Yarrowia lipolytica: one gene and its partners. The protein of the gene in region 3 purifies or fractionates together with the protein of the main gene of each other region. This does not show direct contact. Links are inferred from orthologs where the notes say so. Each region holds a gene or a part of one and is shown on either strand. Other genes may lie near its edges.

What was found.
Region 1: the proteins of YALI1_D14893g (region 3) and YALI1_E26336g purify together in Saccharomyces cerevisiae (affinity purification with mass spectrometry; 4 studies listed by BioGRID, with this or other methods). This does not show direct contact. The link is inferred for Yarrowia lipolytica from reciprocal best matches to the Saccharomyces cerevisiae genes NOC2 and RPL5.
Region 2: the proteins of YALI1_D14893g (region 3) and YALI1_B13137g purify together in Saccharomyces cerevisiae (affinity purification with mass spectrometry; 4 studies listed by BioGRID, with this or other methods). This does not show direct contact. The link is inferred for Yarrowia lipolytica from reciprocal best matches to the Saccharomyces cerevisiae genes NOC2 and RLP24.

The regions. Positions count from the first base shown.
Region 1 is NC_090774.1:2,629,232-2,639,353, forward strand, and holds YALI1_E26336g (60S ribosomal protein uL18), read left to right. Parts: upstream 1-4,434; coding exon 4,435-5,430; downstream 5,431-10,122. Other genes in the region: YALI1_E26320g (uncharacterized protein), read right to left, coding at 1,293-2,789; YALI1_E26377g (uncharacterized protein), read left to right, coding at 8,473-10,122. UniProt on the Saccharomyces cerevisiae protein: Component of the ribosome, a large ribonucleoprotein complex responsible for the synthesis of proteins in the cell.
Region 2 is NC_090771.1:1,308,087-1,318,019, reverse strand, and holds YALI1_B13137g (ribosome biogenesis protein RLP24), read left to right. Parts: upstream 1-4,315; coding exon 4,316-4,882; downstream 4,883-9,933. Other genes in the region: YALI1_B13179g (uncharacterized protein), read left to right, coding at 68-1,363; YALI1_B13150g (uncharacterized protein), read right to left, coding at 1,731-2,954; YALI1_B13122g (uncharacterized protein), read left to right, coding at 5,751-6,221; YALI1_B13112g (uncharacterized protein), read left to right, coding at 6,740-8,548; YALI1_B13069g (uncharacterized protein), read right to left, coding at 8,790-9,933. UniProt on the Saccharomyces cerevisiae protein: Involved in the biogenesis of the 60S ribosomal subunit. Ensures the docking of NOG1 to pre-60S ribosomal particles. Activates and recruits ATPase AFG2 to cytoplasmic pre-60S ribosomal particles.
Region 3 is NC_090773.1:1,485,281-1,496,775, forward strand, and holds YALI1_D14893g (uncharacterized protein), read right to left. Parts: upstream 4,081-11,495; coding exon 2,020-4,080; downstream 1-2,019. Other genes in the region: YALI1_D14866g (uncharacterized protein), read right to left, coding at 1-1,324; YALI1_D14910g (uncharacterized protein), read left to right, coding at 5,762-5,922, 5,981-6,245; YALI1_D14915g (uncharacterized protein), read left to right, coding at 6,263-6,314, 6,427-6,968. UniProt on the Saccharomyces cerevisiae protein: Involved in the intranuclear transport of ribosomal precursors.

The DNA of each region.
Region 1 (10,122 bases), on a different chromosome or scaffold from region 3:
CAATTTCTCCATATAAGCGTCCTGCAGCCCAAAATTTCTTCCTCAACTTTCATGTCCTGACGGGGCGTCGCAGAGTCACCAATTGGCTCTGTTTTGGATACCTCGGGCCTCAGTGTCTTGTTTGGGACTAGAGCAATATCTAGTTTGTATCTCCGGCACGGAATTTGCATGAAGTGATCGGTCATAAAAATTAGGACATTCTACTGTTCAATACAGTCTCAAGATGTTGACCCTACTTGTAGGTGTCTCATTTATTAGTGTGTCACGATGGGTCTAGACGAAGTTCCTCCGAGTATGTCAAAGGCTTCGAAGAGCACGTCAAAAAATCTTGTGCAGAACTGCTTGCAAATATAAAAAGATACATGCCTTCGACCAGATTTGAACTGATGATCTCAGCATTACTAGTGCTGCGCCTTACCACTTGGCCACGAAGGCAGGTTTATGCCTTGTAACGGATCGGTGATGGGTCAATCCTCAAGATATCCCTAGGTACGAGCGGGAACCGCTCGTCCTACTCTACAGAACAGTACACCAATAGTACGAGCTCCGGAAGTCGTATAAACATAACTTAACTTACATACTTGCGAGTGGTGGCTATATATACAGGCATCTCAACCCTAACTCTGTAAAGCACGTCACTATCCACGTGACCTAGCCACGCGATACCAAGTATTCATCCATAATGACACACTCATGACGTCCTCCGGACGTCATCATCGTCCAGTCACGTGCCAAGGCACATGACTAATCATAACACCTTATGACTAGCTTCTGAATCGTTACATGCCTATACAGGCAAAGTGGACTTCCAAAACTGAATTCAGATGATTAATCCGGTCAAGAGATGGAACAGAAATAAAACGTGAACAAGCGAACACGAATGTCATGCGCTCTTCTGAACAACCGATGTCGAATCCGAATCCGATTTGCGGGTATAACATTGCCTTTAGCCTCAAGTAGATGAAATGTATTTCCCTAGAATAAAGAAAACAGAATCTTTGGCATTGAAACAAGCCGATTCACTGATGGTGATCTAACAAAAACAGCTTTAATGAGATTAGCTGATACCAATTATATTTATATGACATTAGTCGTGGTCAGAATTATTTTCATTTGGTTTCTGTCACGTTCTTCATGATATGGTAATACGCAGATAGAGGAGCAGAGTATGTACTGTAAGACCAACGTGAATCTGTCGCCAATGACACCACCCTGGGACCATTTTCGGTATATCTGTGCAGTGCCCCTACCGGAATTCAATCATTTCATTAACATATAAATAACAGCCATATTCACAAATACTTATTGAGGATCAACTTGGCTTTGACAATGGCAGTAAGAACATCCTCCTCCTGCTTACAAAGAACTGGCGCCTTTTCATTCTTCTCGTTGTACGAGGACAACACCTGGAAACGCGTCGTCCTCCCCTTCCGAAGATACTCCAGGACATCTTTTGGCGAAAAAGTGTCAGAACCGATCTGAAGGGCCAATTTCACCCACAATTGAGCATGACCATAAAAGGCGTAAAGCACTGGAGAGTAAATCTTTGAAGCTCCTCCTTCCAACAAGCCACGATCAGGGCTGTCACTTAACGCCACCTCTAGTAAATCCATAGCATCATCGTACAACTCCTTCTCCTCTCCTTTAGAAACTCGTTCCAAAAACTGCCCAGCATTGACGACATGTCCTGCCCGTTGAGTGCACCGTTTGATGTACTTATGAAAAATGAAGACAGTGTAGTAATCTGGTAGGTAGACACAGGGGTAGACCTGGGGAATCACCTGATGATGAGTAGCAGTAAAGGTAGTGAATCTGTCGAGCAGGTACCACTCAGCCTTCGGCTCTGCGCCAAAAAATTCGACGTTACTCCGCAGAATTTCGACCCATTTTTCTCGTATGACCATACTCTCCACAAATGCAACCTCCCTAAGATGGTCAATTGTCTCGGGATCGAAATTGGGACCGAAATCTACATCTCCAATGAACAGAGGAGTGATGGGTCGTCCCTTGCCTGGTAGGATTCGGTTGCAGATTTCGGACATGCTGCCGTGGGAATCGTAGAAACTGAGCAAAATGAAAGGGTCAGCCTCGACAATGTCCTGGATCACATGCAAGAGAGGTCGAACGGTTGCCCAGGCACTCAGATGTGGCGCACTGGGGGACCCACTGCATGCCAAGTAGTACCCATAGACTGTCCACAGCGATAACCACAAAGAGGTTCTTGTGTACGACAACAATGGACGTAGATGATCAGAGAGTTTCTTCAGATTTTCATTGTGAGGCACCATGTCTCTCAGCAGATTCGAATCCATTCCTTCGTGTTTTGAACGATCGACAGGTACCTGTGCCACATCGTCCCAACCTTTATGCTCCAATGTGCTTGTCCGAGTTTCCTTCGCTTGTGTTGACGTAGTGTTCGATTGCTCGCCCTCCTCTTCGATATGGTCAATGAGAGATGATCGTAGCACAAGTTTCATGCGTTCTTGGGCTGGTCCCGATCCCTTGGAGAACTCCAGCAAGCGTCTCAGAAGGGCGGTGGCGCGTGCTCCAGGCGTCTTCTGACAGTCGCGTGTTCCCCGATGAACGCTGTTGTACGTCATAGTCTTGACGGTCTCCCCTCCTAGGTGCGAGAGAGGATACGCCGCGAGAGTCATGAGAATGGCTGTTTCTTTGGACGTTGGCAGCTCGACGGGGGTTCGGAGCAGACCCGTCTCGAGCACGCTGAGAGCCTCGTCAAAGATGCATGAGTCAAACAGATGGCTGGCGAGTTCCAGATGTCGATATTCCATGTGTGGTGGCGGCGGAATCACGTCCACAGATCCATATTGGCGTAGAGAACTCTATGCAGGGCCATGCAGGTGGCGGAGATATCGATGGAGCGTGCAATTAGTTACACAAATCAAGAAGAAAAAAAATAAAAAATAGCGTCATTGTTATTCGGGTGATTGAATCATTTTTGTCATTTTTGCTTGTTTTTTCCTCTTGTATATCACTAATACAATAGTTCGTTGACATTCGGGGAGTGGAAAGTAAAAAGCTAAGTATACACTTAACCATATAGTCCCTTTGTTAATTACAGTAGTTGAGATAACGGAAGAAAAGCAACAGCGATACAAGTACCTTATAATGAAATGAATGTATATGCAGAAAAAAAAAAAAAAACCTGGGCAAGTGTCGAAATTTGGGAATGGGCACGGGTCAGAAGAGCATCTAGATTATCAACATTATATCCTCCCTGTACTCCATTGTTGGTCCGGGCATCGTTACAAGGATTCGTGGACACTTCTCCAAGCTACAAGTAGCCTGACGTACAATGATCAATATGGTGTACTAGAAATACCTGGTGGTGTGGACAAAAAGAGAATAAGAAAGATAGTTGACCACTATATGAATATCGGAAGTCCAGGGGCCTGTATCAGCAATCCACTTGAAGTCGTCAACTGGCATGTCCAACACTAAAGTAACAGCACAGATCTTTATATGCCCACCTGGCGTATACAATGGATGCTATGGGGAAGGAAAAAAACATCTTCGGAGTAACATTGATACGTTTAATCCAATTTCAAGCTCCTTGGGCTCTCAGATTGCCCTAAAATTCGTCTGTTGATTCCTTGTACTCGGTTGCACGTATGGTAGACCCACAATCAATCCATTAACAAGATAGTCGCACACCATGGAATGAAAACGAGTACAGTTCTGCAACAGTAGTACTATTTTTAAAGCGATCATCTAGTTATAATTTATATATGCTGTACTCCTCGTGCCACAGATGTCATACTTGTTGAGATATACTACCCAGTGAGTCCACAGCATCTTCTGAGTACATGAACTTGTACATTATAAATTGATAGAATAATATAAATATGAATAAATAATAAATCAAATTTATATAAATAAAAGAATAAGAAATAAATAGTAATAAATTAATATGGGTTTTTTTGTTTTTTTTTTTTTTTTTTGTATAAAAAAGAGTGTACTACAACTCCTAACAAGAGGTTTGGACCCGTGACACACAACAGCGTCATGCAGCACAAATGGGTGGGGGTAGAAGACAAAAAGTATCTCGGTTTTTTCTGAAGTCTTCAGGGGGTTCGATGGAGTCCGATTTTTTCTTCTCTCAAGCGTAAAGATCCGATGAACATATTTATGTGGTTATATTGTGGGTTATTTTCAAATATTCCATTTTTGGCGATTTTATACGATATTTGAGATACTGAAATGTCACATAGGGGTGGAAATAAGGAGCCAAAAGAAATTAGTTTCAATGATATAAAATAAAAATAAAAATAAAAATAAAAATAAAAATACCACTAAACCTCTTGATTATCTATCGCCATTCAATCGACTCTGTATCCTTTTATCATCATATTCCCCTCATTTTTTCATCATTGACCCCTCTCCTATAAATTAAGGTTCAAAATCCACTCTGATCACATGACTTTTCCCTTTTGGGAAAACAGTCACAGGCTTGGAAACTCCCAAGGTCTATTTTTTATAATGGTGAAAAATCCCGTCTCATCTCATCAGTCTTCATCAACAATGTCGTTCAACAAGATTGTCAAGACCTCTGCCTACCACTCTCGGTTCCAGACCCCCTTCCGTCGACGACGAGAAGGTAAGACCGACTACTATGCTCGAAAGCGACTCGTGACCCAGCACAAGGCCAAGTACAACACCCCCAAGTACCGACTTGTTGTGCGATTCACCAACAAGGACATCATCGCCCAGATTGTCTCTTCCCAGCTCAAGGGTGACATTGTTTTCACTGCCGCCTACGCTCACGAGCTTCCCCGATACGGTGTCAAGCACGGTCTTACCAACTGGGCCGCTGCCTACGCCGTCGGTCTTCTTGTTGCTCGACGAGCTCTCAAGAAGCTCGGCCTCGACGAGACCTACAAGGGAGTTGAGGAGGTTGAGGGTGAGTTTGAGCTCACCGAGGCCGTTGAGGACGGTCCTCGACCCTTCAAGGTCTTCCTTGATGTCGGTATGACCCGAACCACCACCGGTGCCAAGTGCTTCGGTGTTCTCAAGGGTGCTTCCGATGGTGGACTTTACGTCCCCCACTCCGCTTCTCGATTCCCCGGTTGGGATATCGAGTCCGAGGAGCTCGACTCCGAGACCCTGCGAAAGTACATCTTCGCTGGCCACGTTTCCGAGTACATGGAGGAGCTTGCCGATGATGATGAGGAGCGATTCCGACAGATCTTCCAGTCTTACCTCGACGACGAGGTTGACGCTGACTCCGTCGAGGAGATCCTCCAGGCTGCCCACGAGCAGATCCGAGCTGACCCCGACCACAAGCCTACCGCCAAGAAGACCAAGGCCGAGTACGCTGCTGAGTCCAAGAAGTACAAGCAGAAGAAGCTCACCAAGGCCGAGCGAGACGCCCGTGTCCAGGCCAAGATCCAGGAGATCCGTGCTCAGCAGTAAGCGCGATTTTCGAATCTGTAAAAATAAAACTTTTAACCCATTTTATGCGGAAACGACTGGCCTAAGACCAGGACATGAAAGCTACCTGTAGATGATTAATACACAGTAATACCCGAGGGACGGAGCGTTAATAACGAGGGAACAATCTGATCTTTACGAGCAAGCAGATTGCAGTTCTGTTTCCCTTCCGAGCTGATATTCATTCAGAATCAACAGTGAAAATTTTGAAGGTTCATGCAGGCGGCTGATCGCAAGGACTAGGAGGAGGTAGATCTGAGAAACACTGACATCATAGTAGATACAGAAGGGTGAAATGTTGAATGCAAATGGCGGGGCAGTCAGTAGTATTACTTTCAGTTTCCATTTCAGCTAAAACTATCTACTATGATGTCTGTGGGGACTCGGTATGCGGACTACTCATACTGTACGATACTTGTAGTCGTTAGAAAGAAACGGGCATGGTGAGTTGATAAAGATAATTACTTGTAGTTGTGTGCATGGAAATGACATCTGAGAATCGTTGGTGACCACAGAACCCATACTTCTTAGACAGACTATACTCTGATTGATACAAGTGTCCCGTTCGCTCTTGTATAGCATGGTATACAACCCTTCATCTGTGGCTACCAGACCAGAACAATCCCGCTTGACAACTTCTCAATTCACACTCAAGTCGGTGACCCTTTTTGATGATCCTGTGTCCACATTTATACCACAATTATCCGTATGGTTCTTGTACAAGTACCATCCTGTGTACAAGTACAGGATGTACTTGTATATGCTCACAGTTTAGATGCTATTACGAACCTACAAGTAGCTTGTACATCAACTCTCGTACAAATACTCGTACAAGTAGTTCATGTTTATAGCATCACTTCTCATCCATGTCTCACCGGTTGGTCTTCCACGGAACACTACTGTGCTTGTTACGCTCACCTCGTGTTTGGGTCTGTGAACGGAGAGAGAGTGGAAATATACTTGTAGCGTTTTGCCAGAAGTCTTCGTGTCGACAGTTTGGTTAATCTCCAGCTTCAGCACTATTGTTCAGGTATTCAGCGTTCTTGTGGGTCGTGTCAGAAGTGCATTAATTCATACTGCCTCCATGTACTCGTACTGTACTTTCACGGGTACTCACCGAAGATACTGTCAAGTCCATGAATGGGCGTCTCACATATCTGCCGGAATGGCGAGTCAATTCTTCACACTCTATAACTTCCTCATTCGGTGGATGTCTCTTGTACAATAACAGCAAGTTGGTGGAGTTATGAGTGTATTTTCGGGGGGACAGGCAGGGCAGCAATACCAGAACACTCATACTGCTGCTCTGCCAGTATCATGAAGTTTTCATTGTCAACAGCCTTGATATCCGTCACCAGTCTTAATTTTTGCCAATTTCCTCCAATTTCCTCCAATTTCTTCTTTCTTCTGTAATGCAGAAAAAAACTCCGCATCCACTTTAGCCGACTCTGGGACGCGCACTGCATTAGCGAGCGGTTTAGCGACCGAGTACATACTGTAGCTTCTGACGTACCTGGCTACAGGTACAATGAGCCGCGCTGTGAGCTCAAATCAACACCGAGGATCGCTCAGTCATCGCCAAATTGTTGCTTCTCCGCGTCGCTCCAGCCACGTGACCTAAGTTTGCTCATTTTTTTCGTCCCGCTCTCTCGTCACGGACCTTTTTTTCAACATGCACCAAGTGTCGTTCTATTTTTGCTGTTTGTCTCATTCCGGCATGTCCTGTAGCAATATGGCAAAATGGCGGGGCAACAAAGAGGCGCGGGACATGGGCTTCAAGACACAAAAGCCCGGGGCAGAGAAGATGTGAGCGTCAAAGAGGACAAACAGGTGGTATGGCGCGAGTAGACACGACCGGGATGCTTGCGCATCTCAAACGATACCGTTTTTCTCCCCGGATGCTCGTCTCGTATTGCGCAAATCGCTCAAAAAGGCCTGAACTCTTCTGCAAACGGATTCGGGGAAGTCTAACCCACTTTGACCTTCCCCCACTTGTTTTTTTGGGCTAGACTAATGTACAATGCGTCTTTGTTTTTGTTTCACCTTGGTAGGGTTAGAAAAGAGCACGAGTGTGAGTGAAAAGCTGGTCCTTAGACTTGGTTAATATGGCAACCCGTGGACGTGACCACCGTCCGAACCGTGCGAAGAGGGCCGCTTCCACTTGTACAGCGCACTTGCCCAATAATACAGCGGTGCAGACCAGCTGCTGGGATCGTCGAGATCGACATGGGTATAGAAAAAGAAGACAATATGGACGGCCAAATGGCAGATAATACGGGCAAAAAAACAACCAACCAGAGGGGCGGTAACGGGACCAGTCTACAGGGCCCCTACTCAGCAGTACCAACTCCAGATTCACAGCCCCTTGGCCCTCTACATACCTCCAGAGCACATGTCTCACCTAACATTCTTGTTGACCGACACCAGCAACTTTATTGGTGGGCAATCCGGACTCTAGTCACTGGCCGGCAAAGGTGGAGCTATTGTAGGTCGCAAACTACCGCTAAAGTACAGTAGTGCGATGGTACGGCTGAAAATTATGCCGGTAAAACGGAGCTGAAGCTGCTGTTCCTTTTCCGCTCCAGGAGGCCGCGGAGGGTGGTGGTGTTGGTGTCACTGTCAATTCGTTCCCATCTCCAACATGTATATTTCCATACACCTCACATTCAACCCAAAAGTCAGTATTCTCCGCCCCACTATAACTTTAACAAGCGAATGTGCATAACATAAACAACACAACAGGGTGTGTATATCTGGAGATGTGGGGGAAATATTGGGAAACGGATGCAGTAGATTTATTTTTCACATCAAAAAGGCCCTATTTTCGTCTTTACCACCTCCTCACAGCCCTCCAAACACCCGCTGTCAGCCACCCCCCCCACACAACCCTTGCACCACCGGCGAACCTTGCTTCGAACCTTGCGACCCCCTGGCGCTCCGGCCCCCTCACCTGTTTATAAGAGCTGGACCCTTTAGATTCGTGCTCACGGCCCCCATCGACTACTCGTACCCACCACACTCGTTATGAAATCTCTATTGCTGTCGCTGCTGGCGGTCCCGGCCACCGCCCAGCTACTGCTCGACCTCCAGGGCCACGATACCACCGACCCCCGGCACCAGTCACAAAACCACCTGACCAAGCGAAAAACCGTGGAGCAGGACCTGGTCCAGAAGTTTGCCTACTACGAGGCCACCGTGTCTGTGGGCACGCCCGGCCAGCAAATCAAGCTGCTGCTCGACACCGGCTCGTCCGACATGTGGGTGCTAGGACAGAACGTCAACTGCGGAGGAGGAGGAATCTTCAGCCAGGGCATTGACTGCACCCAGAGCGGCGTTTTCGACACGAGCAAATCGTCCACATACCACAAAAACGAGTCCATCCCCTTCGACATCAAGTACAGCGATGGCTCCGAGTCCAAGGGTTTCTACGGAACCGACAACCTCGGACTAGGTGGAACCACCCTCAACGACTTCACTTTTGCCGTTGCCGACTCGGCGTCCGACGGACAGGCCGTGCTGGGAATCGGCCCCATTGAGAACGAGCAGTCTCTGTACACCGACAACCCCGTAGCCTACGCCAACTTGCCACTGGCGCTGATGATGGATGGCGTTACCAAGTCGTCGGCCTTCTCCCTCTGGCTCAACGACAAGGACGCCCTCAAGGGCTCGATTCTGTTTGGAGGCTACGACCGGGCCAAGGTGGACGGCGACCTCTTCACCGTGCCCATCGTCAACCTCAACCCCGGAGGACAGGGCCGGTCCCGAGAGTACAACGTGGGTCTGGACAGCATCACCGTGGGCGGCAAGTCCGTCGGCTCCTCCACTCCCGCTCTGCTCGACTCGGGAACCACCCTGTGCAACCTGCCCCAGGAAATGGTCGACGCCATTCTCGCCCAGTTCTCCGGCGTGTCCAACTCCCTGCGAGCCGGCTACTACACAAAGTGCTCCAACGTGCCCCAGGGCTCCATTGACTTTGTCTTCTCTGGCAACAAGCTGACCGTCGAGCTGGCCGACCTCATGAAGCCTCTTGAGAACCCCGACGGCTCTAAAATCACCACCGACGGCGAGCAGGCCTGCGGCATTCTCGTCACCTCCAACACCGACTCGCATTCCATTTCCGACTCGGTCGTCCTCGGTGCCTCGTTCCTGCGGTCTGCCTACGTAGTCTACGACCGTGACGCTCAGAAGATTATGATGGGCAAGGCTAAGTACGGAGTGTCCAGCAGCGACATTGTCGAGCTTAAGGACGGCTCCAGCGAGGGAGTTGCCTCTGCCGAGTCCTCTGCTGAGTCCGCGGCTGCCACTGCCTCGTCTTCTGCTGGTGCTTCTTCTGGTGCTTCTTCTTCTGGTGCTTCTTCTGCTGGTGCTTCTTCTGATTCTTCTGCGTCTGCTTCTGCTTCTGCGTCTGCTTCTGCTTCTGCGTCTGCGTCTGCAACTGCCACTTCCGAGGGCGACTCTGGCCAAGGAGTTTCCACCATGGCTGTTGTTGTGCGACCCAGTGACACCCGACTGTCCGCTTACATCACCAACATTGTCGTCACCCCCTCAGCCACCCCTGCCCTCTCCACCGTGTCTGTGGTTGTGCGACCCAGTGATACCCGATTGTCCGCCTACATCACCGAGATTGTCGTCACCCCCACGGCCGTTCCCTTCTCCACCGTGGTTTCAACCACC
Region 2 (9,933 bases), on a different chromosome or scaffold from region 3:
CGGCATTTAATCATATCTGAGACGCTGAACCGGGACTTTGCTGTGTGTTAAACTGTGAGGTTTACACATGCTATTATCCTTTCCTGACCTAGCTGCGGCTAGTCGTTTCCGTGTATTGGTTCCGTTGTTGTCCGATCGGACCCACAGCCGTCATTTTACTAACCCAGTGCTCCACACCACCCCTCGCCTCTATCAGGCCAGCAACTTTGCCATGCCAGCCATGAGTCCCACCATGACCGAGGGAGGCATTGTGTCGTGGAAGGTCAAGGAGGGCGACGAGTTTTCAGCTGGTGATGTCATCCTTGAGATCGAAACCGACAAGGCCCAGATCGACGTCGAGGCTGCTGACGATGGAGTCATGGCCAAGATCTACAAGAAGGACGGTGACAAGGACATTCAGGTCGGAGACACCATTGCTGTGATTGCTGAGCCCGGAGATGACATCAAAACCATTGATATTCCTGCTCCTGTCGAGTCGGACGGCAAGCCTGCTCCCAAGGAGGAGGCCAAGGAGGAGGTCAAGGAGGCCCCTAAGGAGGAGGCTAAGGCCCCTGCCCCTAAGGCTCCTTCTACCCCCAAGGAGGCTCCCAAGACCGAATCGTCTTCTGCTCCCTCATCATCCGGCTACTCTGCCCCCGCTAACCCCGCACAGACCCTTCTCCCTTCGGTGTCCTCGCTTCTTGTGGCCAATGGCATCTCCAAGGAGGACGCCTTTGCCAAGATCAAGGCCACCGGTCCCCACGGCCGGCTTCTCAAGGGCGACATTCTCGCCTACCTCGGAAAGGTCCCTGAGGGCTCTCCTGGCGCTGTTGCCGACGAGATTAACAAGCGATCCCATCTCGACTTGTCCAACATCAAGCCCGCCAAGAAGAGCGATGCTGCTGCTCCCACTGGGGCTGCCAAGGCTGGAGATGCTGCTGCTCCTGCTACCAAGGCTGCTCCCGAGCCTGTCATCTTCACCTCGTTCCTCGATGTGGCCCACTTTGAGCCCGAGGACCAGCTCGAGCTGCAGCGAATCGTCAAGCAGGCCATCAAGCTGGCCAAATACGACGCCGTGGAGCTCGCAAAGCCCCGCCGATCCGCCAACGTGGACCCCGACTTTGAGGCTATCATCGGCCCCGCCAAGGGCACCAAGTTCTACGACGTGAACGTCATCTACCCCAAGTCCACAAAGCGGGCTCTCTCCAATGGGGCCGACCTGTATGACATTCTGTCGGACCGAAAGCCCCGAAAGGCTGCTGTCCAGGTGCCTTCCAACACTGTGCAGGTCGATGTAACAGTCAACGACAAGGTCCCCGGTGCCGAGAAGCGAGCCAAGCTTTTCTTGAACAGACTGGAGTATCATTTGACTGTGGAGGAGTAGGAGAGACAATGTCGAGCATAAGATGATACAGCACATAGAGTGTGCTATACAGTATAACGAAGGATATATATAGGTAGGGTAAACATGTGAATGGTGGTGAAGAGCATTTGCTAAGGGGTGCTCTTATTGTAGCGTTCCTTGATGGTATGACTGTAACTCAGTAATTCAGGTCAACTACATATGTACAGTATGTATGTAGTATTGTTCTTACATGATACATTCGTAGTAAGGGTATTCGTTTTCAATTTTACAGAGCATTCCCTTAGCTCGTGCTACAAGTGCGTTGGGTAAGGATGATTTGCTACGCCTCATGATCTTCGCTCCCCTCGTGCTCTTCGGTTAATCAGTTACTATATACACAACAAGATTATTGCTTCTTCTTGTTCTTCAACTTCTGCTTATGCTTCTGTTGCCAGGTCAACTTTGTCTGGGGCTCTTCAAGCGCCTTCTTTTTGTCCTCCTTTCGCTTCTCCTTAATGTCCTCCACAAGCCCGACGGTGTTAGCCTTGAGGGTGTTGAAGTCGCGCTCAAAGCCGCGCTTGTACTCGTTGATATAGAAGGACTTGCCCTCCTTGAGCTTTCGCTCGGCCTTGGCGGCGTCCTGGATTCGCCAGTGCTGTTTGATCTTGTCGTCCTCAGACAGACCCTTTTCGGCCTCCTTGATGGATTTCTTTCCAAACAGTACATCCCATACTCGTCCGTCGCCCCAGAACCAGCCGGATCGATCGACCACCCAGGGAACCCAACTCTTGCCTTCCCAGATGAAGAAGAAGAAGGATGACTTGGAGGCGGTACCGTAGAAACCGTCCTTGGTGAAAATGGTTGTCCTCTCTCCACATCGCAGCTGGTTGAGGTTCACTGTGTAGACGGGAGAGGGTCTACCAGGAAGATAGGGGTGGGTCACAAACCGAATGTGATCCACGCCCTGCATGTGCTCGGGAACACCCTTCATGTAGGTGCCAGGAAGGTAGTACAGACGTCGGATCAGTCTGCCAGGGAAACGAGCAAGAACGTAGGACATGAAGAGGAAAATGGAGGTAAAGGCAATGGGCACAGCAGATCTCAGTCCAAACTTGAACATCTGGTGCACAAATGGCTCGTCGGTGGGGTTCATCTTCCAGTCCATGTAGGCAGCACTCAGCAGGTTCTCTCCAAACATGATTCCGTACAAAGCCAGCACAAACGAGCCACAGAAACAAATGACAAAGTAGAGACGGTGGGGCTCGGCTTCGTACAGCAACTCGGGCTCCTTTTTGTTTTTCAGGATCAGCATCATTTCAGTGAAAGAGAGCCGAGGGCCGACCACAGGAGTGTCGGGTTTGGGAATGATGGTCGGCTGGGCCTCCTTACCGAGAGGGAAAGATGGGATTCGAGATCGCAACGAGTTGCTTCGAGGGTCAATAGGATCGATATCTCGGGGCAGATCAGAGTCGGTCTTTTTGCCTCGAACAGCCATAAGAACAGGGACAGCTGGAGCTCGAGAAATGGGCCGATTCACAAGCATCGAAAGCGGTCGCAGATGCTGCTGAACCAGCGACTTGCCGGGCGAGGCCAAGAGACCCCGCCTCGCCGTGTTCAAAACGAGAAGCATGGTGGTTGTGATTTTGAGTAATAGCAGGCAGATATTTCTGGCGGTAGGAGGTGCATGTTGGTTTAGGGTTAGGGTATGGGGATATTTGACTGGTAAAAAAGTACTCCGCAACGGAGAATTGAACTCCGGTCCCCCGCGTGCTGGTGTAAACCTGACAGGCGGAAATTCTAGCCACTAAACTATTGCGGAAGATGGAGTAAAAAGTCGTTAAAATAATATGTTGCAAAAGATGTAAAAAAAGAGAAATTTGGCTGGTTTTAGGGGTTTTAGTGATAGTAAAACCCTTTTTGTCTATTAATTATTCAGAATCCGAAATATTCAGGCTTTTAAATCCAAATATGAGGGTGTTATGATGTCTATAAGTTTCCAGTGAAAACTCCATATACAGTAGATAGAAGTATGACTCGAGATAAAGGACTACTAGAAGATATATAAATGTACAGGAACATTTAATTATGTGAATAAAGCATATAAATGAACTACATGTTCAATAAAAATCATGTCTGAGCTGTGGAGGATCAAAATTCTAAACAACTAGCGCAAGTGAACGAGGTAAGACACATAAATGAGGTAATGGAGGCCTAAAAACTTCAATGAATAACGATTTGAGGTTTACCCAATTGGTTTGTTGACTATTCAATGACGATTCGTCTCATTATGCTCTTAAAAGGTCCCTTTCTTGTATCCACTGTTTGACCATAGGGATGTATACTCTTCAGCAGCAGAATCTTCTGTGTGTTGATGATGAGATCACGAGAGTGTATTTATCAGTTCAGAAACATCACACAAGCACAAGTACAAGTACCTCGTTTACAATTTAAAGACTCTTGTTCATAGCAAGTATTAGTACAAGTAGACAAGATGCCTCTGATTCATTCTTTTGAGCAAGTCAAATATGTGAAGTACGGGTCATCAGGAGTGCTCAATTCTAGCCGCAATGCGTTTTTAAGAGCCATTGACACCTCTCTAAATCTGCTCTCTATTTGTAGACTCCATAAGACGCTTTTCGATCAACTCGTTCGTTCCAAGCCGCCTTGTTCTTAGTAAGCGGTGAGCTTATAGCGGGACTGCATTTATTTGGATTTATTTGGATTAAATGAGATAAAATCCGATAAAATCCGATAAAAATCGACAAAATAGGCAAAACGGAAATTGACTGAGATTTATCACGTGGATATTTCAATGAGCATGTCACACTCATTGTACCTCTCATATACAACACATTATCCCTGTTCGCTTACTCTCGCCACAGACTTTGGACGTGCAGAATTTTCAAACTCAAATAAATATTTTTGACATAGAGTGCATGCGGAAGATTTCGTTCATCATCATACACAACCTCACAACCGCACAACCACAAAATGCGAGTGTACAACTGTCATTTCTGCTCGTCGCCAGTGTATCCCGGTAAGGGAATCATGTTCGTGCGTAACGACTCCAAGGAGTTTCGTTTCTGCCGATCCAAGTGCCACAAGAACTTCAAGATGAAGCGAAACCCCCGAAAGCTGCGATGGACCAAGGCGTTCCGAAAGGCTGCTGGCAAGGAGATGGTGGTGGATTCCACCCTGGCCTTCTCTGCCCGACGAGACGTGCCCGTGCGATACAACCGAGACCTCGTGGAGAAGACTCTGGAGGCCATGGAGAAGGTGGAGGAGATCCGGCTCAAGCGAGAGCGGGCCTTCTACAAGAACCGAATGCGGGGCAACAAGGCCGCCCAGCTGGAGGAGGACCGAAAACTGGTCGAGGCTCACCCCGAGCTGCTGCGAGAGCGAGAGGTGGAGCTCCGACGAATGCAGGAGGCCGGCGAGGACGACGACGACGAAGACATGTCCGAGATGGAGGTGTCCGAGGAGGAGGAGTCCGAGGAGGAGCGGGAGAAGGTCGAGATTGCGCTCAAGTCCAAGAGCAAGCGAAAGATGCGAGCTTGAAGAAAACGCACCAGAGAATATTAAGTTATTGCATGGGGATGTTGGCAAGCCGATGTGTCTTGTTATTATGACTAATAGATTATTTACCGAACGAACATCGGGTTTGAAGAACGACATGTGGTTCTATTGAGAGCGCACTTGTGAATCGACCTGAGAGGAGAGCGTGCAAACGCGGTACTAGTGTGCATTGAGCGAAGACCGAGTGTGTCTTCGTGAACTCACTGTTCCCTGCGGACGACTACCGTAGAACACAGCATGAACGAAGGGAAAATACTCCTTTTTGAAGCAAACATCGGAGCGTTTTATGTACTTGTAGTTTACAGTACATGTAGTCTTGTATAATGGTTAGGGAGACTTTGATGCTACTAATCGTGAGATGAGAGGATAGTAGAGGTGGTTCTGTTCACTGTCTATGTGTCTTTGGAGTCGATCAAGTCTTTATACCCCAATTGCCGTTTCTTCTGGGTCTCGGGACTCAAGAAAACCGGACTTACATCTCAACATCTCAACATTCATTATAGAGCCACAATAATAGGTTGCGCGTACCCATCTTGTCTTGGGCTATCATTCGATACCATTTTTACTCTTTTTCAAGTCTCATCATGCCATGATAGAAACCCCCCTTCTCTTCTACAGTACAGTACATACTGTAGTTTATGATACTTGTTAAGGTTGCAGTATATCTACATCATAGCTGTTCAATCTTGCTCAGTTTTCTTTCGATTTGAATATACTCACCTTCAACATGGTTGCGATTCCTGGAATATCCCCCCGTTGAAATTCCATCTTCCTCCCTCCTCTGCATGCCATTCTACCACCTCCCTCATCTTTTCAACATCGAACCTAATCCTCCACTCTTCTTCACCCCATGTCACAGACAACATCAGTGACCCGGCTGGCTCGTCTGGTGGCCGGGAAAACGACGGGCGACAGACGCGACATTTTCCGCGACTCGGTGCGCGTTTTCGGCGTTGTTCAGTCGCATGAATTCGACACTCTACGGCTCAAGGAGGTGCCAGAGCTGCACGCGTTGATGAAGGCCCAAAAGCTGCGCCAGGGCATCGAAGACAAACGTCCCGAGGCAGTGGTGACCCTGAGCATGGCTAAGAGCGGTCTGCACGAACATCTCATGGAAGGAACCATGATCATGGTGTACATTGTGATCCCTAGACACATGGTGGTGGACAATGAAGAGGACTACGGATTGCCACCCTCGTATGTCAACATTGATGTCGTGGCGGTGAACGTGCTGAGCCAAATGGGAATCTCGCCGCAGCAGGCAGATGTCATGCTCAAACTGGTTAGACAGGAGGCCCTCAGATTGGGACAGGAAAGTTGAGGGTCCCGATTTCCGGGTCTCACAACTCAACCTACGTGCGCGGTCAAATTGTCCATATTTTTCATGAACACGGGTTGTCTTAGCTAATTGAGCTATGTTCGAGACTCCGCAACTGCTACAGTGACCTAAAGTGACTGTGTCTTGTCCTCTCCATTCACTGAGCGACTCGAGCTACTGGGTGATCACGTCGCTCGGACAACTGACTGTGACTGCGTGATATGTCGCGTGAACGCAGTATTCTCACCATTTGATCCAGCACCCCAGTCGTGTCTGTCATTGTTCATTACAATCTCTGATACGATGAATCCCGACATTTACTAACTTGCATTGAATATATTTATTGTCATGAGCGTGTCAGCTCAAGTGAGTCGTTGTAGTTTGACCCATCTTTGTACTGTAGTCTCCTGTTGTCTCACACTCATCCTGTTGTTCGATTTTTGCAATCTGTATTGTCACCAATCTCGCAACTCACTTCTCCCAAGGTTTATCGTCATCTCACTCGTCCTTATACACACACTATGGATACCCCAGATGCCAGTGAAACCCGAGCTAACGTGTTGGATCTCATCTCTACTCTCGGAAGACACAGGGCCGAGCATGAAGAGCAGCTGCTCATTGACCTAATGGCAAGCATGGAGAAATTCAACAAGTCCATGAAGGGGCTGATCGCGGAGATTCCCTTCTGTCCAAGCGCTACGTATGCGGAATGCTGTGATCGGGCCCTTCAGCTCAGGACAGGCTACGATTACATACGGGACACAGAAAGGGCTAGTCGAAACGCCATGCTGGATAAACTGCAAGAGCATCTTTCCGTGCTGGATAAGATGAGCCAGGTACTTGCTGCCTACGGGGAAGAGACGGAGCTAGTTCAGGTCAAACTCAAGTGGGATCTCATTAACCAAAATGCAACAGGATTCGCCCAGCAGGAACAAATCATGTTGCAAACCGGTCTGTTGAAAATCATGCGCGGCTGTGAGAACGAAGCTGGTCGCCGGCAGTTTTGGGAAGACCATCTGGCACCATTTGGAAACCACGTGGTACTGGACAGAACGGTAAGGCCGATCTGCATGACCTCTTCAGATGCCACCAGACCTGAAAGCACCGCAAGCATCGGCTCCTATCTTCCCCAGGAAATCATGAGATTGATCTATGAAGCTGCCGACCTAGAAACATGTGTCAGTCTTCGGGAAGTCAGCTCAGCATGGTACACCGCGTTCCAAGAGGTCGATTTCCGAGCCCAGATGAAGGCTCGGAACCCGTGGACCGAACCCGTGGATGACTTCAACTCATGGACAGATTGTGTGTTGGTGTTTGTTGCTCGTCTCCGATCATGGCAGTCGGCAGAGTCCGTAGACGACATTGACGTGTCTGCAAAGAAGGAGGAACGCAGAACTGTCATAGGACTCGAAATCAAAGGTGATGAACCCCTGCCCAGCAACTTCACGGGCTTGACGGACAACTCGGGAGATATCTTAACCGAGTCCATAAAAGTGGGTGGCGATGAACATACCTATGTGAGGAGTCAATTGACGCTAGAGAGTCTCGAACACGAAGTGTTCCCTGTAGTGGTGGCTGAGGATCACGACAAAACAGTCATCAAGTGCAGGGATCTCGAGGTGACCCTTCCACCCTCCATCAAGTCCCAGGACTTTCTCGAATTCGAACCTCTGACCATTACCGAGTCGTTCGTGGCCCTGTACCTGAATACAGGTCAGGTTTACGCAGTTCCTCGAGACAAGCCTCACTTTGATCACGGTTTCTACTTTCACGGAACAAGTGAAGAGCCAAGAGAAATGGGTGGTGTTCTTGTAACAACAGAAACACTCCGGGAATGGAGACAGACTGATCGGCGCCAATTCTGGTTAGCCAACTTGGAAACACGGCAAATGGTAGATTATGCGGCAGTTTCACAAGACTCAAGCCCCGTCGCATCCTACAACGGTCTCATTTGGTGGAAGAAGGGAGTTCCTTCGAGACAGTTTGTAGTTCCTACCTTTGTGGACCTCGCGTCTCCGGACCGGGTGTACTATCGAGCCGACAGTGCCATCACCGGGCTGACCTCATTGCAAACTCGACAAGGCAGTGTATCGCGGAACTCCACCCAATTTGTCCTAGGAAAGACGGGCCTCATCTCAGGTCTGCACGTTATCGATTTGGCCTCTGGAATTGTGACCGATATTGTGACTCCCCGTGACTGGCAACGGCAGAACCACATTGAGGTCTTTGCCGGCTTCGTCGACTACAATTTCCAGGCGAGAATCATGGGCGCAGAGGAGATTAGGGACATGCATCACGAGGTGTTGCAACAGATGGAAGGACAAAGATGATATACTCGGTTGGTGCTATACTGTAGGAAATTCGAATCTCAGACACCTTGGGTGGAAGATGTTCGAAATAACCAGTAAATTACTCGTAACTGGGTAGCGCGTAGAACCTTCTGTTATGAGGTTCTGAAATGTGCATTGTTTGTACTTATATTTATAATAGATACAAAAACCCACCCAGTCTTCATTCACAATCGCTCGTGGACATTTGCTTAGCTCATGCTCGTTATAAATATTCTATACACTACCTAGGACCTCCTCCTGCGCCCTCCTTAAAATACTGATCCCAGATACTTCCCAGAGGAACCTCACTCATGAGCGAGTATAAGTCCTCCTGCTGTGGCGAGACTTCTCCCGAGTATGCATACGGCAGAGGCTCCTCCAGAGACGCCGTCATCTCCATATTGGGCGGGTTTTGAGCCTCCTTGAAAAAGTCGTCAAGGTCAGGCACAGGCACCTCCACAGGCTTTTGGTGTTTTTTCCTTCTATCGTCGTTCCAGTTGTCGGGAACCTGTTCCACCAGCGCTCCCAGGTGGCTGAACCGCTTGTCGTGGTTTTGGATCACTTCCACTAGTCCATCTTTGCTCACTTTGCGAAGCACACTGCCTCCCTTGAAGCACATTTTGAATACTGCTGCAGAGAGGAGCTCAAAGGTGTCATGGCACACCTGAGCAGCATTACATCGGCCAATCAGCGAATCCAGAACCACCACACACTGTTTAGACACCGTTTCGTAGTCTTCTCTGCTAATTAGCTGCTGGCCAGACACCAACGAGTTATACACGGCATAAAGAAAGCATGTACCGGCAATAAACAGGTTGTGAACAGCCACCCACGTGTAGTTGATAGACATGATCTGGTGTAGACTGTGGTACTTGGTCATGATGCCCTTGCTAGCCTCTAGCACACATTCCAGAGAGTAAGCTGAAGGAGAAGGGTTCTTGGGGCCCACTCCATACAACAGGAGACGCGATTGGTGGTAATTGAGTGCAAAAAACGTGGTGGTGAAACCGCAGTTGGTCTGCAAGTTTGTGTTTGGACACGAGTCCATCCACTCGTCCAGCCGGGTACACACGTCCTGAAACCAGTCTGCAAACGTCGCAAACCGTCGTGGAATCTCGGTGAACTCAAACATCATGCGTTGGATCTCGGCCTGGATCTGTCTGACCCTTGCAAAAGCCAGAGAAATGTACTTATACGACTTGATACCGCCTGGCGACGTCATAAGCGAGTAATCGACGTTGTTTCGAGGCACAATGAGCGAATCGTCGAGCTCGGAGAAGAAGGGCACTCGGATCGAGTCTTCGGGAATGCCAAAGGGGCGGCCTAGGTAGACACAGATTTGCCGATCAAGCATATACGTGCACCAAAAGAGCCGTCTTCGCATA
Region 3 (11,495 bases):
GACAATTTTTACCGGGAATAGAAGTCCACACGAGCAATTCGGAGTCAGGGGTGGTTTCAACTCCAAACAGACCGCTCACAAGAGCAACCTGGTTCCGTTTGATGTGGATATCAGAACCGGCAAATTTGCGGGCATTATCAGTCAGAATCATTTTGTCGGTGAGGTAAGAATTGTTGGTGGGATCAACCAGACTCCAGGGAGAGTTGGCTCGCTTGAAAGCAGGCATATCTGTGATCCTGCCCATTCCCATCTTTCTAGTGCACGGCATAAGAGTCTGTTCAGGGTGCCACGAGGTGTTCTTCCACTTTTTGAGCTCCCGTCTATTCTTGGGGAGAGCGTATCGCAATTCATTGGCGTCCTTGCTGAATTTGGCTTCGGTGAGAACATTGAAAAGAGAAGTCTTGCCAGTATTGGGATAACCGACAATGAAGGCATTCTTCTCATGCTGCAGATCGTACATGGAGAATTGGTGATGACCTCCAGACTTGTCATGTTCGGCGGAGAAGAAATGGACATTGTCAGCGGACATTTTGAAACCAAGGCTCTGCATTTGAGCAGCGGCCCACAATTGCACGTTGACTGAATTGATCTGCGGCACGTAGATGACGCCCTCAGCCTTGGTGAGGATGAGTTTCAAATTCCGTCGTTTTCTCAAAAAGATGGGAACATTGGCAGGGAAGTCGTGAATGGAACAAGTCAGAAACACCGTAGCAGTGTCAGCCTCAGCCGAAATCATGTCCAAAATCTCCTGGTTGTATTTTCGAATATCCTCTTTCAACTCGTAGGCCTCTCTAACTTGGTTGACAAACGGAACACGCTCATCAATGTTGTTTCGTTGCAGCTCGTGACATCGCAAACACACTCTAGGGCCTTCTCCTTTCAGTTTGACCTTTTGGGTGTAATATTTCTTCGCCTCAAAAACGTCAAAGGGCTCGTCATTGCTTACTAGATTCTGCTCGCGGGCCAGAAACTCCAGGTTCTCAGCACTCATGTTATCGATTAGGGAGTTGAACCGATCTGTTTCCTGTTTGATGTTGACTTTCTTGGGCTCTACGAAAAATCCAGGCTGATCTCGATCCTCGGTGTGGAAAGGAGTGTTACACGAAGCACATTCCGTCTGTTCTTCAACCGAGGAGCTTGTAGAAAGGTGTCGAGACGGAGCAGTCGTAGTAGTGCACGAACTGGTGATCAGTGTCGGTGCTCTCAAAGAAGTGACTGTAGTGGTTTTCGAGACTGTATGTAAGTGTTTACACAACAGCGGGGCGGTGTTTACTCGAAAAGTGCCCACTCTGGGCCGTAATAGCGTCTTTCGAGCAAGTCTCATATTGTGAATAGGTCGGTGGAAAATATCCTGCCAGAAAAGTTAGAGGTTCAATATTTCATGCATATCAGATGCAGATGCAGTCTACTGTGGCGAATGCTGCCGCTGGACAATATCAGTCAGTCAGAGGTGATTTGGAAAGCTAAAGACCGAGGAAAAAATGTGTGTCACATCCTGTATCTAAGCGATATTTATTCTTTTAATTTCATTTCCAACACAGTTTGCAAATGACACATGAGTTTTTTTTTTTTTTTTTTTTTTTTTTTTTTTTTTTTTTTCTTCATGAGAGGTTCGAACCTGGGGAGCTCGACTCTCTAAGTATTTACTTGAATTTGTTTGTTGGAAAATGGTTGATTCTACTGTAGAAGCCCAGACTAAGAGAAGAGACGATTCAAGCACAGGAGATCTACTAGGATTCCATAGAAAACAGGTGTACTGAAAAATCTTTGTTGTTCATCCTGTAGCTAGCTCTGTCTGCTGATGAACAGCCATCTGACTACAGGTATTGTCTTTAGCTCCTTGATAATTGCACTTGTAGTATGGATGTGATGAACACAGTATTGTACACCTACTAATGCCAAATTTTCTCGTGGTTATCCCATGGCATCTTGGCTAGCAGTGTACATACATAACACACTTTGGATCTACTTCGCGTATTCTTGATTTCATTCATATTGCATTGTCTATAGTCTACTAGGTTACTCCATCTCCTCGTCCTCATCCTCCTCCTCGCTCTCACTGAGCTGTTCGGGCTCGTCCTTGAAGTCGGCCAGCTCGACCTGGTCGGACTCGTTTCCGTCGTTAGCGTCCTGTTCTTGCGATTCTCGAAGAATGGCAAGCTTCTCGGCTCGCACCTGTCGCTGCACCACCACATAGGAACCCAGAGGGGTCTTCTGCCAGTCCAGGTCCTTGAGGAAGTTGTTGACCTGGTCTCGGTTGGTGGGGCCAAAGTCAATGTTGGCTCGCTTCTGCTCAATAAACTTGGCGTTGGCGTCGATCTTATCCAGCAGAGTCAGCAGCTGGCGGTTGAACTTGGAGATGTTGGACCGTTTGGTAAACCGCTTGAGAGTGATTACAGCTGGAATGGCAAGCTCGGGGAAGGCCACTGACTTGCAGTAAAGCACAAAGAACTCGGACACCAGCTCCACAATCTGGTCGCACACACCCTCCTGGTAGACTCGAGAGCCCAGATAGCCCTTGTTGGCTCGGATGGCGTAGTCAAAGTCCAGGGGCTTGAGAGCCGAAGACTTGGGGGGCTTGGTCATGACCGACGAGTTAAGCAGCTCTGTGAGAAGAGGCAGCAAAGGGATGTAAACTCCAGTTCGCTGGGAGATTCGGAGCAGAGATCTGATCAGGTAGAATCGCAGAGGGAAGAACTGGACCGAGGGGATTAATCGGATCGTTCCAAGAGTGACCTGGACCAGAGGGTATAGCAGAGGTCGAAGAGGGGACTGAGAGCCCTTAGTGGCCTCGTTCTCGGCGTCACAGGTATCGGCAACCACTCGGGACCAGTAGTCCAGAGAATGCACAAACTGCCAGTTGTAGACGGCCTTGTAGGCGTGTTTGGAGGCAGTCTTATTGGTCAGAGAGCCTCGCAGGTGGATGGCCAGCTGTCGGATGGCGTCAAAGGCAATAGGATAAGCCTGCTGCTCGTTGACAGCGTACAACATGGCGGCGGTATTCTTCATGAAGTTGATGGTGCCCATGGTGTGGAACGAGGTGTTTTTGCACGAGTTGACAAACTGTCCGTAGGCGGCCTTCAGAATGGCCTCATAGGTACCGGAGTGCTCCTTGGACTCAGTAATTAGCAGAGCAAAGGCAGCCTCTCGGGCAGAAATGGCAGAGCTGGTACCCCAGATGTAGCACACGGAGGCGATGAGGTTCTTAGTGAGCTTTCGATGACTCAGCATGTAGGGCATGACCTTTTTGAGTGCAGCAATGGACCGGATAGTCTCCTCGGCTCCAGTGGTGGTGCTCAAAGACTGCTGCAGGACATCTCCATACGACTTGATGATAGCTGTGGCAGACTTGTTGTTGGTGGCGGATTCCTCGTCGACAACGCTGGTACCCTTCTTGGACTGCTTGAGAGGCAGCTGCTTGGTCAGAACCACAGGCACCCACCTGTTGACCACATCAAATAGCTTGGTGACCACCTTGATGTCGTTGATAACGTATTTGAAGTTGGCAGTAGCATTCTCATCCTCCTGAGAAGCTAGAGCAGCCTTAGCAGCCCGCAGAGCGTTTCTAGCAGCGTCGGTAGATTGAGTCTTCTCCATGGCAGATGCCCACTTCTTGACCATGGCCAGTGTCACCTCCTCCTTGTCCTCCTCCTCGGCGTTGGCGTCCTCCTCCACGTTCTCCTCGTCGTTTAGGTATTTGAGAAACTCGGGGTCGTCCATCTCGGGGGCCTCGTCCTCGTCAGAGAAGGCCTCTCCTTCAGAGTCGTCGTCAGCTTCAATCTGATCCTGCTCGTCCTCGTCTTCCTCGTCTTCAAGTTCCTCCTCGTCCTCGTCCTCCTCAGCGGCCTTGCCCTTCTTTTCGGGAACCTCAAATCCACCCTTCATAAAGTCGCCCACAGACATGTCTTCGAAAAACGAAGGAGCAGCCTTCTCGACCTTGTCTTCGGCAGAGACGCTAGCTCCAGGACGTCGACCCTTGACGGCCTTGGCCTTGGCAGCCTGGTCCACACGTCGCTTATCTATGGTTTTCTTCAGATGCTTGTTTTGGAACTTTTTCGTCGCCTTTGATGCCTTACCCATAGTGATTGTCTTGTAGTGAGATGTGCTTATGCTCAATTTGAAATTTCATCTCGAATTTTTTTAGAGTTGATGCGGGCAGAAAGTTTAATCGAAATGTTGATGAAGACAACTTAGACACGTGATATGGAATCTTATACACGTTAAAACAGCTGTTGACATATATATGTGTTTATAAGACCCATCAGGAATCACATTTACGTCTTATTTTCTACTCATAACCTGTAACTCCACGTCCGGGGGGTGCAGGCTACAGATTTCGAAACGCTAAAAACCGCCTTCGTGGCCAAGTGGTAAGGCGCAGCACTAGTAATGCTGAGATCATCAGTTCAAATCTGGTCGAAGGCAAATATATTTTTTTTGGCTTCCCTTTTCACGAAGACACCAGTACCGGCGGTATGGACTGCGCCCACGCGACTTTTGCTGTATGTGGGTCAGGATTTTTCTAGCGTGGGTTGGTTTGGGAGTGTGAACTTTAGTTGAGGTTTTAACTAAATTTAACAACATGGGGGTGTTGGTATTAGTTTGTTGTAGGGGTAAAAACAGCTTGATTTCCTTTTATTTTTTTGTTCAATATATTTCTACAACTGTCAGAGACATGTAAATATACGTCTAATTACCATGGACTGCTTGCATCCGTTAGACAACCCCAACAGGCAGTTCTCTTAACTAAACTTCCAACAAAGTCAACTACTGTACTTGTACTAGACCACAACCTGTAGCACACCTACTCAAGAGTAACATAATATATTGGGGTTGCTAGTTTTTTTGAAGAAACCTATCAAACCATACCATGTGAGAGGATTCCCAGAAATCATTCAAACCACTCTCGTCCCCCGTAACCGTCCTGTACTTGTTATCGCCTCGTTGCTCCATCCATTTTACATCCAATAACCACCACGGTGCTTCCTAAACCTAGAAGTCCACCAAGGTGTGTAGTGTTATCCCAATATATAATCTGTCATCAGCAAACGACATGGTATACGATACACGGTGGACACCACGATACGGAGGCACACACAGACACGGACACAGACACAGATACAGACACGGGCATAGACGCAGACACAAACCGACGAGACACAGAGACACAAATACAGATAGTATGGACAACACGGACAAACGACATGGTGGTGGAGTACGGTCATTGCACAACACACCCAGTTACCAACACTCAGACACAGAAGACACGATGAAGACAATTCCCCAATGATGAGCGAATCATCTTTTGCTACGTCACCGGTGCTGTAATTTCCGACTATCTCGTTCTATCTCATCTTTCGACAACTCGGCGATACTCATCAAGATAATGCCAATGCTATCTATCCACTATCAGAGCTTCGGATAAAAGTCGCAAATAAGAGAATAACCCAGTTTCATCCCACAGTGCTCACCTCCCCTCCCTCCCTCACCCCACTTTGATACCAGGGGAATATAGTGATATCCTCATCTCTTTCAACGATTACTACAGTTCAAGTATGTACCAACGCGATACCAATATGCCGACATCGAAGCGCTCCTGATTGATCCCACACCGTCCACAATATCCCAGAGTACCAGCAAGTACCTCGGCTGTCCCTTGACCAACGACTAGACAAATGAACAATCCCTACCCCCAAGAACAGCTCGATAACCACACTACGATATTTTCCATCGATACCCAGACGTTTCTACAACTACCCAGATGGGGCATTGGACGTTCGTCTACAGGATTACCCACATCCACCCACCATACATGCTGTCGATGCGCTTAGTAAGTTTGATGTCTCTTGCATCACAAGATCATGTCATCAGCCGCACAGCCTGTACCTCCTCACTGATCTTCAGCTCTTCGATTAGGCTTCTGTAAATGCAGCTAAAAAGTCCCGAACCCAATTTTTCCTGATTCTTGTTAATGCCCCAGTGAATCCTGCAGGCTTAGATTGGATATTCATGAGCATGGTGAGAAAAACGTGTCTAAGTGGCGCTTTTCTTTGCGTCCTCAGGGGTCTTCACTCAAAGCATCTAACCACTCACACCACTCTTGTCCTCTTTCTGCAGCTCTCGCAGCCTCCTACACCCCGCAAGCCCATTTAGCCTTCACTTACCCTACAGTGCAGTGTGAGGCCCAAGGTTTGAAATTTTTTAGAGAAGCGAGTCTTGATTTCTTGACGACGTTTGTTGTGTGAAGACGAAGAAGAAGAAAATGGAAGGACAGGCCCAGCAATTCCGAGGATACTCTCGAACATGCTTCAACTGTGAGTGTTTTGATTTTGTGGTGACAATGAGCAGACCCACGTCATGTTGTCGGGTGATATCACCTGGAGATTATGTCACATGTGTTTTTTTTCAACTTTACTAACCATCCAGGCGGTGAATTCGGTCACCAGGTGCGAGCTTGCCCCCGTGTGGGCAACCCCGTTTGCTACAACTGTGGCAACGACGGCCACATGTCCCGAGACTGCACTGAGGAGCCCAAGGAGAAGGCTTGCTTCAAGTGCAACCAGCCCGGTCACATCCTCAAGGAGTGCCCCCAGAACGATGCCATTGTCCACGACGGTGCTGCCCCCGTTGCCCCCAACGGTGAGGCCCCCATTGGTGGCGAGTTTGGCGCTCCTCGAGGCCCCTCCGGTGTCTGCTACAAGTGTGGCAAGCCTGGCCACTTTGCCCGAGCTTGCCGAAGCGTCCCCGCCGGCGGTGCTCCTCCCAAATTTGGCCGAACCCAGTCTTGCTATTCTTGTGGCGGCCAGGGTCACCTGTCCAAGGACTGCACCGTTGGCCAGAAGTGCTACAACTGTGGCTCCATGGGCCATGTTTCCAAGGAGTGCGGCGAGGCCCAGAGCCGAGTGTGCTACAACTGCAAGAAGCCCGGCCACATTGCCATCAAGTGCGATGAGGTCCGAGCTGCTTAAGCAGAGTTATGTATTATAGATATGACTGATTGAAGTGTAATAGAGTAGGGGGTGTAGTCATCACCATCACGAGCGATAGCTGGTGGTGCGAGTGATGCGAGTGAGTGTCAGTGAGAAGCGTAGAATACTTGAAACCATGTACAACGATCCAAACCAGGCAACAATAATGAGATACAGAGACATGCGATTTGAAACCACGGGAAGCGTTCGAAGCCCGAGAGAACGGATTGGCCGAGGATCAAACAGATCAGAGATGCACGAGGTACGAATAGCCCTGATTTCTGTGTTACTAGTTGAGCACCACCTGGATGTGTGCGATGGGATGGGTTTCCCCTATTGCACATGGTGGTACTTGTATGTCCAGTTGGTACCGTTCGTGAGAAAGATGGGTCATGGTACACTACTTGTAGTCATAAATGGTTGGAACACATTCAAGCCAGTCTTTTGCTGATCAGGGATCAAGTCCTGGGGTGTCTGAGAAATTCTAAAGGCTTGAGCTCATGTTGTAGTATGATACAAGTACAGCAGCAACGAGGTATCGAACAGGGTATGATCTAAAACAAGTGACTAGACTGAAGTGAAGGCAGGGTTTACGTTTCAAAAGACGAATCTGAAGAACGAGTCCCTTGGCCTTCCTTTGCCAATACTGTAATGATATGTCGTTTGGAGTGAATAATATATAAGGATCTTCCAGCATGTGAGTTCTCAAAATTGGGGTTGGCTTGTAGAACGATCTACTTCTGCAACAGTGCTCCCGATACTAACATCTTGAACATACTCGGATACAACGAGAAGCAGATCTGGTATCACTCTCTATTAGCAGGGCTACTCCTATCATGCAGGCCATAAATCCCACACTACCTTCCACATACACTCATTTTCTTCTGGTTGTACAAGTATCGCTTTCACCAAGTGGTCCATCATTGCACTTCCTGGCACGGCTAATACACTACATACAGTAGTCGTCTCTAGTGTACAACTATGGTAGCGCCGTTTTTACCCCTGCAGAGGGAATATTCCGTGGAGGAGGATGCTACCCTGCTAAGAGGGTTGCTGTCATTGCGAGTTCCGGGGCCAAGTATTATGTCACATGTCCTGGTTGTTATTAGTGTCCTTTTCAACGTCCGTTTATGTAACAATCCAAGAGATATGGAAGCTACAAGTACATACAGTAGAATATACCACCTAACAGTTGATGATACATACACGATATTAGAAGTCTTCTAACTGTTGTATCGTTTGAGCTTCATAAAAGTGCTACAGGTAGTGGTTGGTAACGCCAGGTAATCTTCGTACTGTACTCGTACTCGTACTTGTACGGTAGCCTCGCCATTGTAAGGCTCTTGAGACATGTTTACCACGCGATAAACTTGCGCTAAAGCCCTACTTGTAGACGCGTTTGAGTAAAGGATATACGTCTCTGGAACGCGTCCACAAGAAGCCAATTGACCGACATTTCTTGTTCAAGTAGGCTTCGATGGACCAACAGGGCCGGAGCCCCAGCCACACTCCGCCGACCGTGGAGCTGTACAGATTGGCATTCTCAGCCCTGGTCTGTCCTTTACAATACCCAAATAGGCAGCCGCCTTGTAAACTCTACCCGATTTGTGGGCCAAAACAACCCAAACAGGAGAGATGAATGTGCATCGATTGTGATTGTGTAGAAAAAGCACATGTTTGTGAAGTTTAGTTGCTCAAGTGAGGAATTCACTATACACCGTGACGGTCTCGGTCATTGCTCAGTGGACAGTGTTTGCTTTTTCCATTATAGCAATACAAACAAGTACCCCTTGTTTTCTGGGTGCGTGCATCGTATCGTATGGTAGCATACCGTAGTAATTGTACCACCAAAACGGATATTCAGGCCAGGTGACGGCAAACAAACCTAGCCACAGTTCTTTGTGCGGTGCCTGCTCCGGTCTAGAGGTTTTGGCACTGTCTTAGTTTCACGCCATGTCTCTGCTATATCCTAGGAATGTGTTTGTTGGGGATGCGCTATGCTTGCTTATCTATATCTGGCGACATGAGCAAGCATGAGAAGTGTGCCAGGGGAAACTTTATCGGAGCGACAGAGGCATAGATGTCCAGAGAAGGGGTGTGAACTGGTGGGCAGGTGGTCAATGAGTTGTCGTACTTGGGCCAGCCAGCGCTCTTTGTCGATTTACGGCGTGTTTCTCAACAATATGAACATACTACGAGCACTTCCGACAGGGGCAACGGCGGGACTAGTACGGGTACCGGAACAGGTTGCAAAGTTGCCGTGCAAACAAGGCTCAAACTTTGGACTAAAGGAAATGACACAATATACTGTACTTGTACATTACAATACACAATCTACACGAACAAACACCCCTTGAGACATGGGACGCGACTTTATGTGTTAAACTTAGCAAGCAATTTTCCGATTGTGCAAGATACTGTAGCTCCTGGGCCATCTACGCGAGGTGGATAGACATAGGGTTCATTTCACGGTGGCGTGTAATTGAGGCCGCGTTGGTAGTCACGAGGGCTTTTGTTGGTGTCCATAGCGTCAATTGCGACAACTGGGGTAGCAAGGTCGTCGCACGGAGCTCATTGAGAGCCATTGGGTGCGATTGGAAGATAATGCACTTGGTTGAGTGTGATTGCGTTTGATTGAGCGCCATTGAGCGCCATTGAAGGTCATTGAAGGTCATTGAAAGCCATTGCGTACGAATGAGAGCAATTACTCCACTTAATTCCCTTAGTTGGTTGTTACTTGAATGACTAATTGACATTGTTCAAAACTCAACTACGGGCTTGGAGTTTAGCTTGAGCCACCCCCACCGTCCATATTGCGCCCTAGCCTCAGCAATATGGCCCAATTTGGGCAGACGGGCTCGAGTGAGACCATTGATTGTCGCAGACTAAAATTGCACCATTGGATGCTACTGAAACTGGACTTGCTAAAAATACCCGTGGCCAAGCGACGATACTTTACGATTCAGTAATTGCATCGAATCGTCTGACTGACGTCATTCCATGCGGAATCGAGCCCTGCAGATCCACCCTGTGGCAAACCCGTCATCATGTGGGGCAACATCATGTGAGAGTAGCCACATGAGCGCCTGTAGTAAGAGCATAGTACAGTTCAGTGAGCCGCACACAGTTCCCCACAAACATGACAGTATGTTTGGAGACGGAGCTCGGCCTCATCCAGGCTTATTCATTTTAGCTGCCGCACTTTTTGCAGCCCCACAACCCATGCTTAATCCATGTGGCCCGTCTTCGTCTATCCCCACATGCCCCTGTTTGAGCAGGGAGTCTGGAGTTTAATAGAGAGCCGACGGAGTGCGGGATAAATCGTGTAAAATCGACGAAAGGCCGGGCGGCAACTTCCAAGCAGTCATTCAAGAGCTGGACTCTCACTCTGCTTTTTCTTCCCCCATACACCCGAATTGCCCTAGTACAACCCGCACTCCAACCCCTATCTTATCTCTGGTGCGCACCACTTTGCTGTTTATTAAGCTTCAGGGGCGACCAGTAAGGGCTCAAGTAAATGTGTGACTAATTTCCCAATCAAGTGGAGCGGGAAATGCCGGCTCGGAATGTGACGCATCCAGTCGTGTGGCAGCAGCCCCGGTAAACTGGTAAACTGCTGGCGTCGGCTCCAATTGCGCGCCATTGGGGTTGTATCAGTCACCGAAAATCTCCCTGTTCTCGGTTGCGTCACATCTCAGCACATCACCCCACCCACTTGTCCTGCTCCGAAATTACCCCTCAGAGCCGTTGGGGAGCCTAACGAGGTCTAATGACTTGGGTGTGTAATAAAGAGATATTAAAGGGCCGTAAATCGAAAAGGCGCAATAATGCAGAAAAAAAAATTGGGGGGGAACTCAAGGAGATAATACACATTAGAAAAACGGAAAAAAACCCGGAATTTCCCGCAGAAAATCAATTCACAATAACAGCTACCTCCAAGCACCCACCCCGACACTCTTCCCTCACACCCCAACTCATTTGTCAGCTCGCTAAACACACCTACACTCAGCTTTACTAATTATACTACGACTTTGCGTTTCCTCCCAACACAAACAATCCTATTGTATAAGGTGCACACTACACCTTACCATGTGACTCTATGGGTCACGAGACGCACCCCGATGCCCCTCAACGCGCAGCTGAGCATGGCATCAGTGGATACGCCCCGAACGGGGTATTTTTTGGAGACAGCCAAACACACGTAATAATTCGCAAGTCAGGGCGCCGGTATGTCGCTGTCACAACGTTTGTACTCACGGAGCGGAACAATCACACGTGTTCGAAAGCAGGTGAAAATTTTTACACATTCCGGACCCCCGTTTGTCTTTTGTTTTTTTTTGTCTTTTTTTTTTTCTTGTTCAAATCAGATACCTTCCTTTCCTCTTTTGTGGGCCTGTTTTACTTTAGGCCGGCATCTCGTTTCGAGCTACCCACCGAAGCTTATCAGGGGACGTACAAAGTAGTGAGATGTGGTGTGTTGGACTACTATATGTCCAAGTAGTGGACATTGGAAGCTGGTTTTTGAGG